2 linked regions of the Drosophila melanogaster genome follow. The protein of the gene in region 2 purifies or fractionates together with the protein of the main gene of each other region. This does not show direct contact. Each region holds a gene or a part of one and is shown on either strand. Other genes may lie near its edges.

Region 1 (6,914 bases), on a different chromosome or scaffold from region 2:
GGACGGACGGGCGGACCAACGGGCGGACGGAGGAACTGCTAAACTGACGCACTGACATCGACGAACCGCACCCAAAGTGCTTGGCCCGGCAAGTGCATAGATAACAAACGAGTGCAAGGATAACGAGGCTACACGGCAAGGACTACGTTTGCAACCACAGCTACAGCTGCTACTACAACTGCGTCTATGGCAACGGAAATAACGCGAAAAATGGTGCAACAGCAAAGGGCGAAGAGGAGGGGACAGTGAAATATTGAAATACAATTGGTTTAGGATAAGATCACACACAGCCCCATATCTCTTCCTTCCTCCACTTAAAGACGGCGCCAAAGGATGTGGCATAAGTGGTTTCCAGCTGCCCAGCATTTTGCTTTAAGTCCAGCCAGTTGATTTAAATGGCTACATCAAAAATTGAAAAAGAGATTAGTTACACTCAGTAGGTTGAATAAGGTTTGCCAGCGGGTATTAGCTCACTAAAAAGAAACTCTAGCTTAGACTAACAAATATGATAAACTTGAGTATTTTTAAAGGGAATTTTATTGTAGACAATGAAATGTTATACCTTTTATTGATTGGCTTTCAATTGCAGTATATTATATATGACCTAAATTTGTGCTAGTGAGTTTCTTGCAGTGAAGCTTCCAAAGTACGCGAAGGGATAGTCGCCAAGTTACCCCCTTTGGAGTACTTCACTCGCGACCTCTAAGGTAGTTAAATTGCGCGTCAGTGTCAGCGGCAGAATTGAAATCCTTTTCCTCTGCAGGCACTCTGAGCGTCCTTAGCTTCCCGCATCCCGCTCACCCCTCGCCGCTCATACTTAGTCCTGCGTCAATCACGAACCGCTTTTCCCCATTGAGTGGGACACGTTTTCATGGAACTTTTCCAGCTGCGCCGAAAACTTGGCCACAAACAAGGCGACACATGACACGTACTCGACTTGACTCCACTCCACACCGAAAGCAAAAGCATCGTCTCGACCTAGTCCCTTTCCGCCCAGTTTTCGATGGTGGGGATTAGTTCTAGTTTTTGTCAGTGTTTTAAAGTTTAAAGCTCTTTTGCGGCATATTTGCATATTAAGTGGCATGCGTTGGAAGTTCCAGGCAGCCTGCTGTTGTTAGTTTCGCCTAGGCTTATGCCATGGCCAATCTCGAGAGAAAGGTAACCGCTTTCCGGGCCAAGTTGAGGATCTCAGGAATCACTGCTGTCAGTGAGGGTTTTTCCCTTTGAACGGTTTCTGGCTCTGGCACACATTGCAAGGACGTGCGGCTAAGTCTGATAAGCTGATAAGTCAAATTAGCACTGATGAAAACATTTGCTCGCTTGTCGAGGATTTGTTTGGCATTTACACATTTACAATACATTTGGAGGAACTACAGTCACTTGACTTACAATACTTAGTTGGGCCCATATGACACGGCTTACACATTACATTACATTTTAACAATTGATTCAAGTAAAAAGCATTAAAGCTGTTCAGTCTAATTATAATCAAAGTTAAAAACCGAAAAATATTAAAAAAAAAAATTAATTCCAAATAGTAAAACTACGACATATATAGTCTGGAAAAATAAGAGGTCCAGCGGTCCTTCTATGTCAAGTTTTTTAGAACAATAAATACAGATATAGTAAATGTTAAACACGTTGATTTAGGTTGATATTGCATCAAGTTTTCAACATGCCTATCGTCATATGGGTCTAGCATTTATCACTTGTCAGCGGATACAGAAAGTCTGCGATCGAGGATTCTCTGCTAAACACCCTTGATGAATCGCTCCAGTTGGATGCTTGCAGTCTTGATTACAGCTTCCGCCGGAGTTGAGCATCCGTTGACCACGCCCTCGACGCAAGCCCGTATGGTGATCCGGTAATGGGTTTCCGGCTCCAACTGGGAGAGGCAGTAAAAGTGCTGGGTGCCCGGAAGTTCGTAGCCACTCAAGGGCTCCTCAGCCACGCATTTTTCCTCCACTTGCTGGACCACGGATGCGTGGGAGTTTTGGCACTTGGGCAAGGCATGTCGGATGGTATACTTGTGCTGGTCCAAGTCCTGAAGATCCCGCTGCTTCTTCTCGCTATTCAGGCGATAATTCTCATAGTTAATTGCGGCCAATCTCTCCTTAGCCAATGTTGCATTTGTAGGAGCAGGAGTGGTTGTGGGCGGTCTGGTGGGCTCTTCATCCTTCTTTATGGACAACAGGTGCTCATAGTTAATCACTTTTTCGAACTCCTTTCTGCGATAGTCGTGATTGCGCCTATAGATGGTATAATATTGTATATTATTTCAATTGAAACTTCAAAGAAAACCATATTTTCTTGTCTTACGAAACATAAATGAGATTGGGCAACGCATCCTCGTAGGTGATTTGCTCTTTGTTGTAGTAATCCTCGTCATCTGGCTGAGGACCTGAATAGTAGGGCAGTACACCAGCGCACTCACAATCGATGTCTTTAGCATTTTCCAACTCAACATTCACATAATTTTTGTCCTTTGCTTCCTTGGTAGCATTGTACTTTTCGGCGGTCACAAAATAATTTTTAATGACTCCATTTGGACGCCTCGGTGGCCACCAGTGAAGAAGCTGGAAATGAACAAGTTTTTAAGCTGAGAGATATATTTTGAAAAGTACTTACAATCTGGGAACTGATTTCCGAACTGCCATATATTCGGAGCACAGGACTTGGCCTATCCGGTAGCGTCTGGAAGTAGCCGATTTTTGAGTAGGCATCTATCTGAATATGATATTCGGTTCTGGTGAGGGTCTTCACGAAATACGCATACTGTGTGTAGGGCTTCAGACCGCTTATCACATGACGTCGACTCTGGTTGGGCACAACGTCCATCAGCCAGCTGGAAAATTATAAACAGAATCACTGTAGGTAAACTTGGTGAGGGCGAGGAGTCCACACCCACTTGTCATGACCGCAACCATGCCGACCATCGTACATAGTCACGTTTTGCACCGGGGCTTCCTTGTAGTGATACGAATATCCTATTAGCGTTTCCATACCCTCCCAGTCCATGTAGTCCAGGATGATGCGTACCGCAGTGGAATTTAGGTCCTCCACTTTGGGATTGAGGGAGCGCACCGCGTCGCCACAAATCACGCGTTCGCCGTTCGAATTGGGGGATACATCTGCCACGGATATATTCTCTCCGCTTTTCAGGGAGCCCTGTAGCTGATGGATTTTCTCGTAGCACAGGCGGGGATTCAGGTGAAAGAATAGTGTACCGCGCTGAATGATCACCAGGTGATTGGGTGGCCAAATGTGCTCCAAATGGTAGTTATTCACTACATACAGGGCGTATCTGAAAATGAGATAAATAATATTATTAGAATTTCAATACAATCCTTGCCTCTCAAACTAACTTGTTTTCCACCAGCTTATCCCCTCTTATGGCATCCAAATTCTGAAGAAATGTGAGCGACATCAGCTGTGCAGAGTGTATGACCTTCAGATACCCAGTGATCTCTTTAACACTGGCCAACGCATTTTCCAAGGCATCTACAATTTTTTCTGGAAAATGTATTATGTAAGTAAATTATACAGATATCATATATGATATGAAACACACCTTTAATATTGGTGAGTTCGATGGTAAGTGAACCATTGATCGTCACACAGTCTTGTAAAACTTCCAGGTCGGCAGCACTCTTCACGTGAAAATCGCCGTTGCACTCCACCTGGCAGTGGATGATGCCCTTGGCGACCAAAATCTCTTTCTGGTTTCCCGGACACTTTTTCACACACTGATAGCCGCGTATCAGGGGAATCCTTCCCAATTCCCGGCACTCCCTGTGACCGATGCACCTCCTCTTGTTTAATTCATAGCTGGCGACACACTGATTGACACATCCCATTCTTCCCTGGTAGTTTGCACAAAGGGAGCAGTTTTGGGAATAGCAACCAGTTACACAGTTGTGATCACAACATTTGCCCGCACTATCACATCCGTTTAGGCCACATGCAATGGGGCAGTCCTTAAGTCTGGGCGGTTGGGGGCGAAGTTGTGTCGTATTCACGTTCCAGCAGCGCTCCGAGGAGTTCCGGATGAACTCGAAGTCCGCTGACAGGCTACCACACAAAGGGCACTGACTTTGCGGTCTGTTGTGCTATGGTTAATAAAAAAGTTATTTATCCAATATTTGCTTAATATCAAGGAACATATGCCCAAGTATATCTTCACTCACTTTAAGGGAAAAGTGCTGCCGAGTGGCATTGCCCATTAGATATATCCAATCGACGGTTTCCACGAAGCACAGCAAGGGATTCGATTCGACGCGAATGAATCCGCTCTGGATGCGCAATAACTCCACCAGGCCGAGCTCCCTGAGATTGCGATTCTCGTAGACCACCAGGGAGTACTGATCAAAGAGGAGCTCCTGCCCACGAATGATACGCAGCCGTGGGAATATCGACTGCAGGCTGATCAGACCCGTGCAGCGATACACCATTAGGTAGTCACTGATCTCGGTCACATTGCTGGCCAGCGAATCCAGGCTGTAGTTGCCGGATACATCCGTCAGATCCACATAGGCCAGTCGAACGTGACCCACCACATGAGTACAGTTCTGCAGTTTCCGCAGGTCCGCAATCTTATTTATCTCCAACGATCCGCAGGCGGTTTGATCATCGGAACTGGCCAAAACCGGCGATGAGGCGCCCAAAAACAGCAGTATCAACGGAACTGCGATCGAGATGGGGATCGGAAGGGGGTTGGGAACGGGGTGCAGATGCCCCATGCTGCCACCTGACACTTCCAATTGAGAGCACTTGACCCGGGCGTTAAGGGGGCTTCCAATGGATCAATTAGCGCGCCCGCTTGAATGTCAATGTCGTTTTTCTCGCACGATCGATCGGTTGAACTATATATTTTTTTAAATATTTTTTCCGCTTTTGAAGAGAGCTGCGTTCGCGGCAACGATTCGATTTGGACTGATGGCATTCGATTCGAACAGCGTTCTGTGCTTTCGATCTCTTTAATTAGCCTCTTCTTTCGGCATTCACTTTGTTTTGTTTTGTTTGGTTTTGTTTCACACTGTTATTTCTTTTTTATGCGCTCGTCTTCGTTCTCTAAACCCTTCGGCTACACCAGCGGAAAATCGTGTAGTGTTCATAAAACTATTCAAATTTGTCGACATTTATAAGAACCTAAAAATGTATGCAAAGCGAACATATTTAGTAACCTTTTTCTTAAGCAAAATATCTTTTAAGCAGATTTCCAAAATTATTACAATAATAAAATATTTAGCATATTGTTTGATAGAGCCAATTCTAATATAAATATCTAAATATCTTCAAAAACCAGAACTATTTTTTCGACTCGGTGTATAAAAACTGCTCAAGAATGAAAATCAAAGGTGGTGGCTGTTGTGAGAGAAGAAGACTGATGATTCGATGGGGAGCAGTCTGGTAATATTTACGTTAATGAAAGTAAACATTTCGTAAAACAATATCGTAAAATAATATACTTGCCGGTCTTGCTATTTGTTTGTTTCTAGTTTTCTCAATCAAATTTAAACCCCCTAATGCCCTTTTGCAGTCAATTAAAAAAGTGATATACGAAACTTAAAATTAAGATTAAGAGTACCATGATAATTCGTATGATCTTTTACGGTTTTTGATAGATCGATTTGTGGAGCTACAAATGAAATTCAAAAACTGGAAACCCTTTTTGAAATTCTTGGCACGCCACTGTTTCATTTTGTTGGGGAGCGATTATTTTACGCATCTGTTACCTTTCACGTTTTTCTCATTGTCGTTTCCTTGTTGCCGTCAGCCGAAAAACACTTGTTACTTCTGCAACCGCCACAGCCCCTTGCCACGCCCCCACTCCCCATGTGACCTTGCAACCATTTGCAAACCGGTTGGATCCTCTTCCCCCTTCCTCCTTAGCTACCTTCCCCTTAGCCACCTACCGGCGTTCTTTACCTTTTTCCCCAGAGTGCATGTCTTTGCCTTTTGTTTTTGCATTTGCGCAGAAATTAAATTGCACCGGCGAACAATTCAATTAGAGTGAATGCAAAAAAACAGTGAAAATAAGAGCGAAAATGGTGGGAGGGGGTGAACCAAAGCTCCAATCCAATTGGTAGAGTAGTGAGCATTGAACAACGCGCAATTGGCAGTTCATTAAGGTGCAAGTAACGCTCAATGGAATCGGAAAAAGAATTTTCTAAATTTAGTCAGATGCCAATTGAATACGCAGCTTGAATGATTGTTCAATAACAAAAAAATAGATAATATATTTATGTGTTAAATACAATAGCAATAGAAATCTATAAATAATTTGCGCAAAATTGTGCCCCGTTGTTTTAGATATTTTAATGGGCAAACCACATAAAAACGCACGAAATAATTTCAAATTTTCACTTTGTTATTATAGGGTATATCTTTAGTGTAGTACTTTGAATATATCATTACATATGTAACAGCGGATAAAATCTGCCTAATTCACCCCAGGATAATTATTTAGTTATTATATCTATTCCAAAAATTATTTTAAACATAATAATTTATGTTACCGTCGCGATAATCCATTCAAAATTAGTTAATAATTGATAAAACCATCATCAATGGTCAATATAGGCAGTAATTTATTATTATTATTTATCATAAAACGTTATTTTTAGCTTTAAATATGCTTAAAGCCAACTTCTATTTCTAAAAACAAAACTGCCATAAACTGTATCTTTTTTTAACGAGTGCAAAATGCACAAATTCACGCAAAATCACCAGCTGCACCCACATAAAAAATCGCAGTAAACGTGTGAAAAAACCACACAGGCATAACTATCAATGATTTTTTCGTTAGCTGATGTGCTCTTTTTCTCCGTTTTCCCGCCACCCGCCTGTGAATCAATTTTCGCAGTAATTTGCAGAGCCTGCGCTGATGTGAAACGCGCGGAATTTAATGCAGC
Region 2 (2,940 bases):
AATTGTGTTAGGATGCGATGAGTGCATTCCGGAGTTGGCTCTTCTCTCTAACGCCTGGCTAAACTCATTCAATGTCAAAGCTGACTTATGCAAATGGCTATTGGAAAATTGTGGGTGGTTTTTGGGTGGCTGTGTTTGGGAGAAGAAGGGCTTTGTGGGCGTTTTGCTGTCAGCCAATTAAACAATTTATGTATAAACAGCCAGGCCGTACTAAGCCCTGCATTTATGAATACCAAATAAGTCCTTGGTCTTAAAGTTACCTCGCCTTTACAGCCCGTTTGCCTCTACCATTTCTACCCTATACTTACCAATCCGCGCCTGGGCGCCCGGCAGGCCGGAGTAGGCCAACAAGAACCCGAGCCAGCTGATTGGAGCCAGCAGCATCCTGGCAACGAATTACGCCTCCTTGGTACTTTTCCTTTGACTGTCTTGTCTTTGCCGCTCACACAAATTCTTCTTTTTGCACTGTCTACTTTTATTCATTAGTCAAAGTTGGTGCTGCATAAATAAGTGATTACGAATTGGATTACGAATGCTGTTAGGAGAACGGGTGTACATATAGTATGTATGTGGGAATGCCATGTTCAAGTGTTCGTATGTATGTATGTATGTGTATGCATGCTGGGTAATGAATGTGTGTGTGTTGGCCAAGTGTCCTATTTCGGTAGACAGTAGATGGCTAACTCCAAGTAGCTGCAGGTCTTGACGCAGCACTCGTCGTAGACGCCACCGGTCAGGTGTCTCCTGTGGCGACGCATCTTGATCAGGACCTCGGATCCGTACAGATTGGTTAGCAGTGGACTAAAAGAGTATCCTGCCCCGTCCAGTGTCTGCCACATGCTGCTATCATCCTGCACCTCCTGCTCCGTGTCCTCGTCGTCGTCGCTGTTGCCCAGCAAGCTTTCACGTTTCCTTGGCAGCGTATTAAAGCCATGGGGACACACCACATCCATGGCATCGGACAGTGCGGGGCCGCAGAGTTTGTGGTTTCCGGGGGGCAGCAACTGGTGACCACTGCCAGTCGGCGTGACCATTGCCATTGCAGCGGTGAGCATGGCTGCGATGAGCAGCGACTGGAGCCGAAGGCCATGTACTGCTGCACCGTTGTGCTGGCTAAACATCTTGGATATGCAGTGAATGCTCTGGGCTGCAACTGGTATTTATACCACTAAATCGGAAGCGCTAGCTAATGCAGTTCAATGGCCTCTTCTGCAGTCTAGCATTGCAGTGGCATAGCAAGCCCCACGGGCGTACAAACTGCAAATCCTTTGATCACCCATGTTTCAGGTACCGTTTTTCCCCTAAAAATGCAAACTCTATTTCTAGCTCTACTCCCCAATTTGGATGGAAAAGCGATGCACTGTTGTTTTGGTAGTTGGGGTATTGTATTGTATTTCTTAGCAAATATCAGTTGTATCATTACCTATATCTATCTATACCAATAGTTTGGAATGTATTTGTAAGACATTTTTAAGATATTCAGAAGAGTTAGCCTTATGGGACTTGCTCTAAAGTGTGAATTGATGCACACAGCTTTATCGAGCATAGTTTTCAGTGTAATCACCGCCAAAAAATCCGCCCACTTCAAAGCATAACCCGTTCGCCCAACCTGTTACATTGCCGCTAAGAGGCTCTGACTGCTGTCGATTGCGATTACGATTACGACCAGATATCTGTGGGGCATGGGGATAAGGGGTATGTGGGCCGATGGCTGACAGTGTGGCAGCCTCATTAGCATGTCGTGGCCAGGAGGAAAGTATGCTTCGATGAAGCTCCTCCGGCGGCAGTGTGCGAAATCGCTTCGATCACCATCATCGCCATCGCCATGGCCACTCGATTGTCGAGTTGCACGCACGGCGATGCCAACAGTTGGTTGCCAGCGCTGCACTCGAAACACTCGCTTCTTCCCACCGACCGCAAAGTGCCGGAAAAGCTAGAAAAAAAGCAAAAAAAAAAGTGGAAGAAAATTCGCGATAGAAAACGGAAAAATCGAAACGAACAAAAAAAGTCGGAATAAATCAAGGAAACATGGTGCTCGACATTAAGATGTGCCGATTTGATAATGTGCCCTGGGGCTTTCGCCTGGTGGGCGGGGCGGACTACGATTATCCGCTGACGGTGGTTAAGGTTAGGCCCGATTCGAAAAAAGAACGAAATCTATATGCTGCAACCCCCACCCCCCCACGCATCACCTCAGCCCATTCACCTGGCGGATGTTCATAGACCAGTGGAAAATATTGCTCACTATGCAGCTGATGAATCACATTGGATTAATTCGATACGATACGTTCGAATCAGTTTTATTTGTTCGATTGCAATATTACGTAACGCCGCGATGCGTGTGTGTCCATTCGGATTTGCTGCATTGGCAAATTAGTTAATTAAAGTAATTCCTCTCGCTTTTGTTTATCTAATCGACAGGGCCATACATTTCCCGCTAATGAGCCGCATAATGGCAGCGGCAATAAACTTATTCAAATTTTAATTGTGTTTCGCTGGCAGTTGGTCCTTTGTTTGTGCATAAATTGCATTTGGCAATTCGCATTTTGTAACATTGTGTTGACAATTCGCAACCAGCAACAATAACAAAAATACAATACATACAATACTATAGCATCGTCGTAAATCCGAAACAAATGCGATTTTTAATTGGCAAACTGCTAAGCGCATAAAACAAATGACCGAAATGCGAGGGGCGCTAAAAAATCCCATCCCTTCGATACGAATAAATCAATTTAAGCCGCAGAGTCAAGGAAGGGAGGTCATAAATTGTTTTTGACTTTTTGGTTATTTTTTTTTTACCGTTTTACATAAACAAATTATGCTATGGGTTATTTTAAATTCCGATCAATTTATAAAATGTTTGTGCTTTGGGATATGCATACCATGAAAAAATGGAAGTTTATTGTAAATGAATTATTAACTTCACAAGCTGGCTGA

The links. Proteins that work in one complex are often made in the same cells at the same time.
Region 1: the proteins of Ilp1 (region 2) and Sdr purify together in Drosophila melanogaster (affinity purification with western blotting, with the first as the bait; one study listed by BioGRID). This does not show direct contact.

What each region holds. Positions count from the first base shown.
Region 1 is NT_033777.3:14,916,703-14,923,616, reverse strand, and holds Sdr (secreted decoy of InR), read right to left. Parts: upstream 4,990-6,914; 5' UTR 4,740-4,989; coding exon 4,188-4,739; intron 4,110-4,187; coding exon 3,572-4,109; intron 3,514-3,571; coding exon 3,366-3,513; intron 3,305-3,365; coding exon 2,909-3,304; intron 2,846-2,908; coding exon 2,629-2,845; intron 2,577-2,628; coding exon 2,320-2,576; intron 2,250-2,319; coding exon 1,751-2,249; 3' UTR 534-1,750; downstream 1-533.
Region 2 is NT_037436.4:9,796,615-9,799,554, reverse strand, and holds Ilp1 (Insulin-like peptide 1), read right to left. Parts: upstream 1,136-2,940; 5' UTR 1,122-1,135; coding exon 657-1,121; 3' UTR 505-656; downstream 1-504. Other genes in the region: CG32052 (uncharacterized protein), read right to left, coding at 309-384; Zasp67 (Z band alternatively spliced PDZ-motif protein 67), read left to right, coding at 2,029-2,127. UniProt on the Drosophila melanogaster protein: Possible ligand of InR/insulin-like receptor.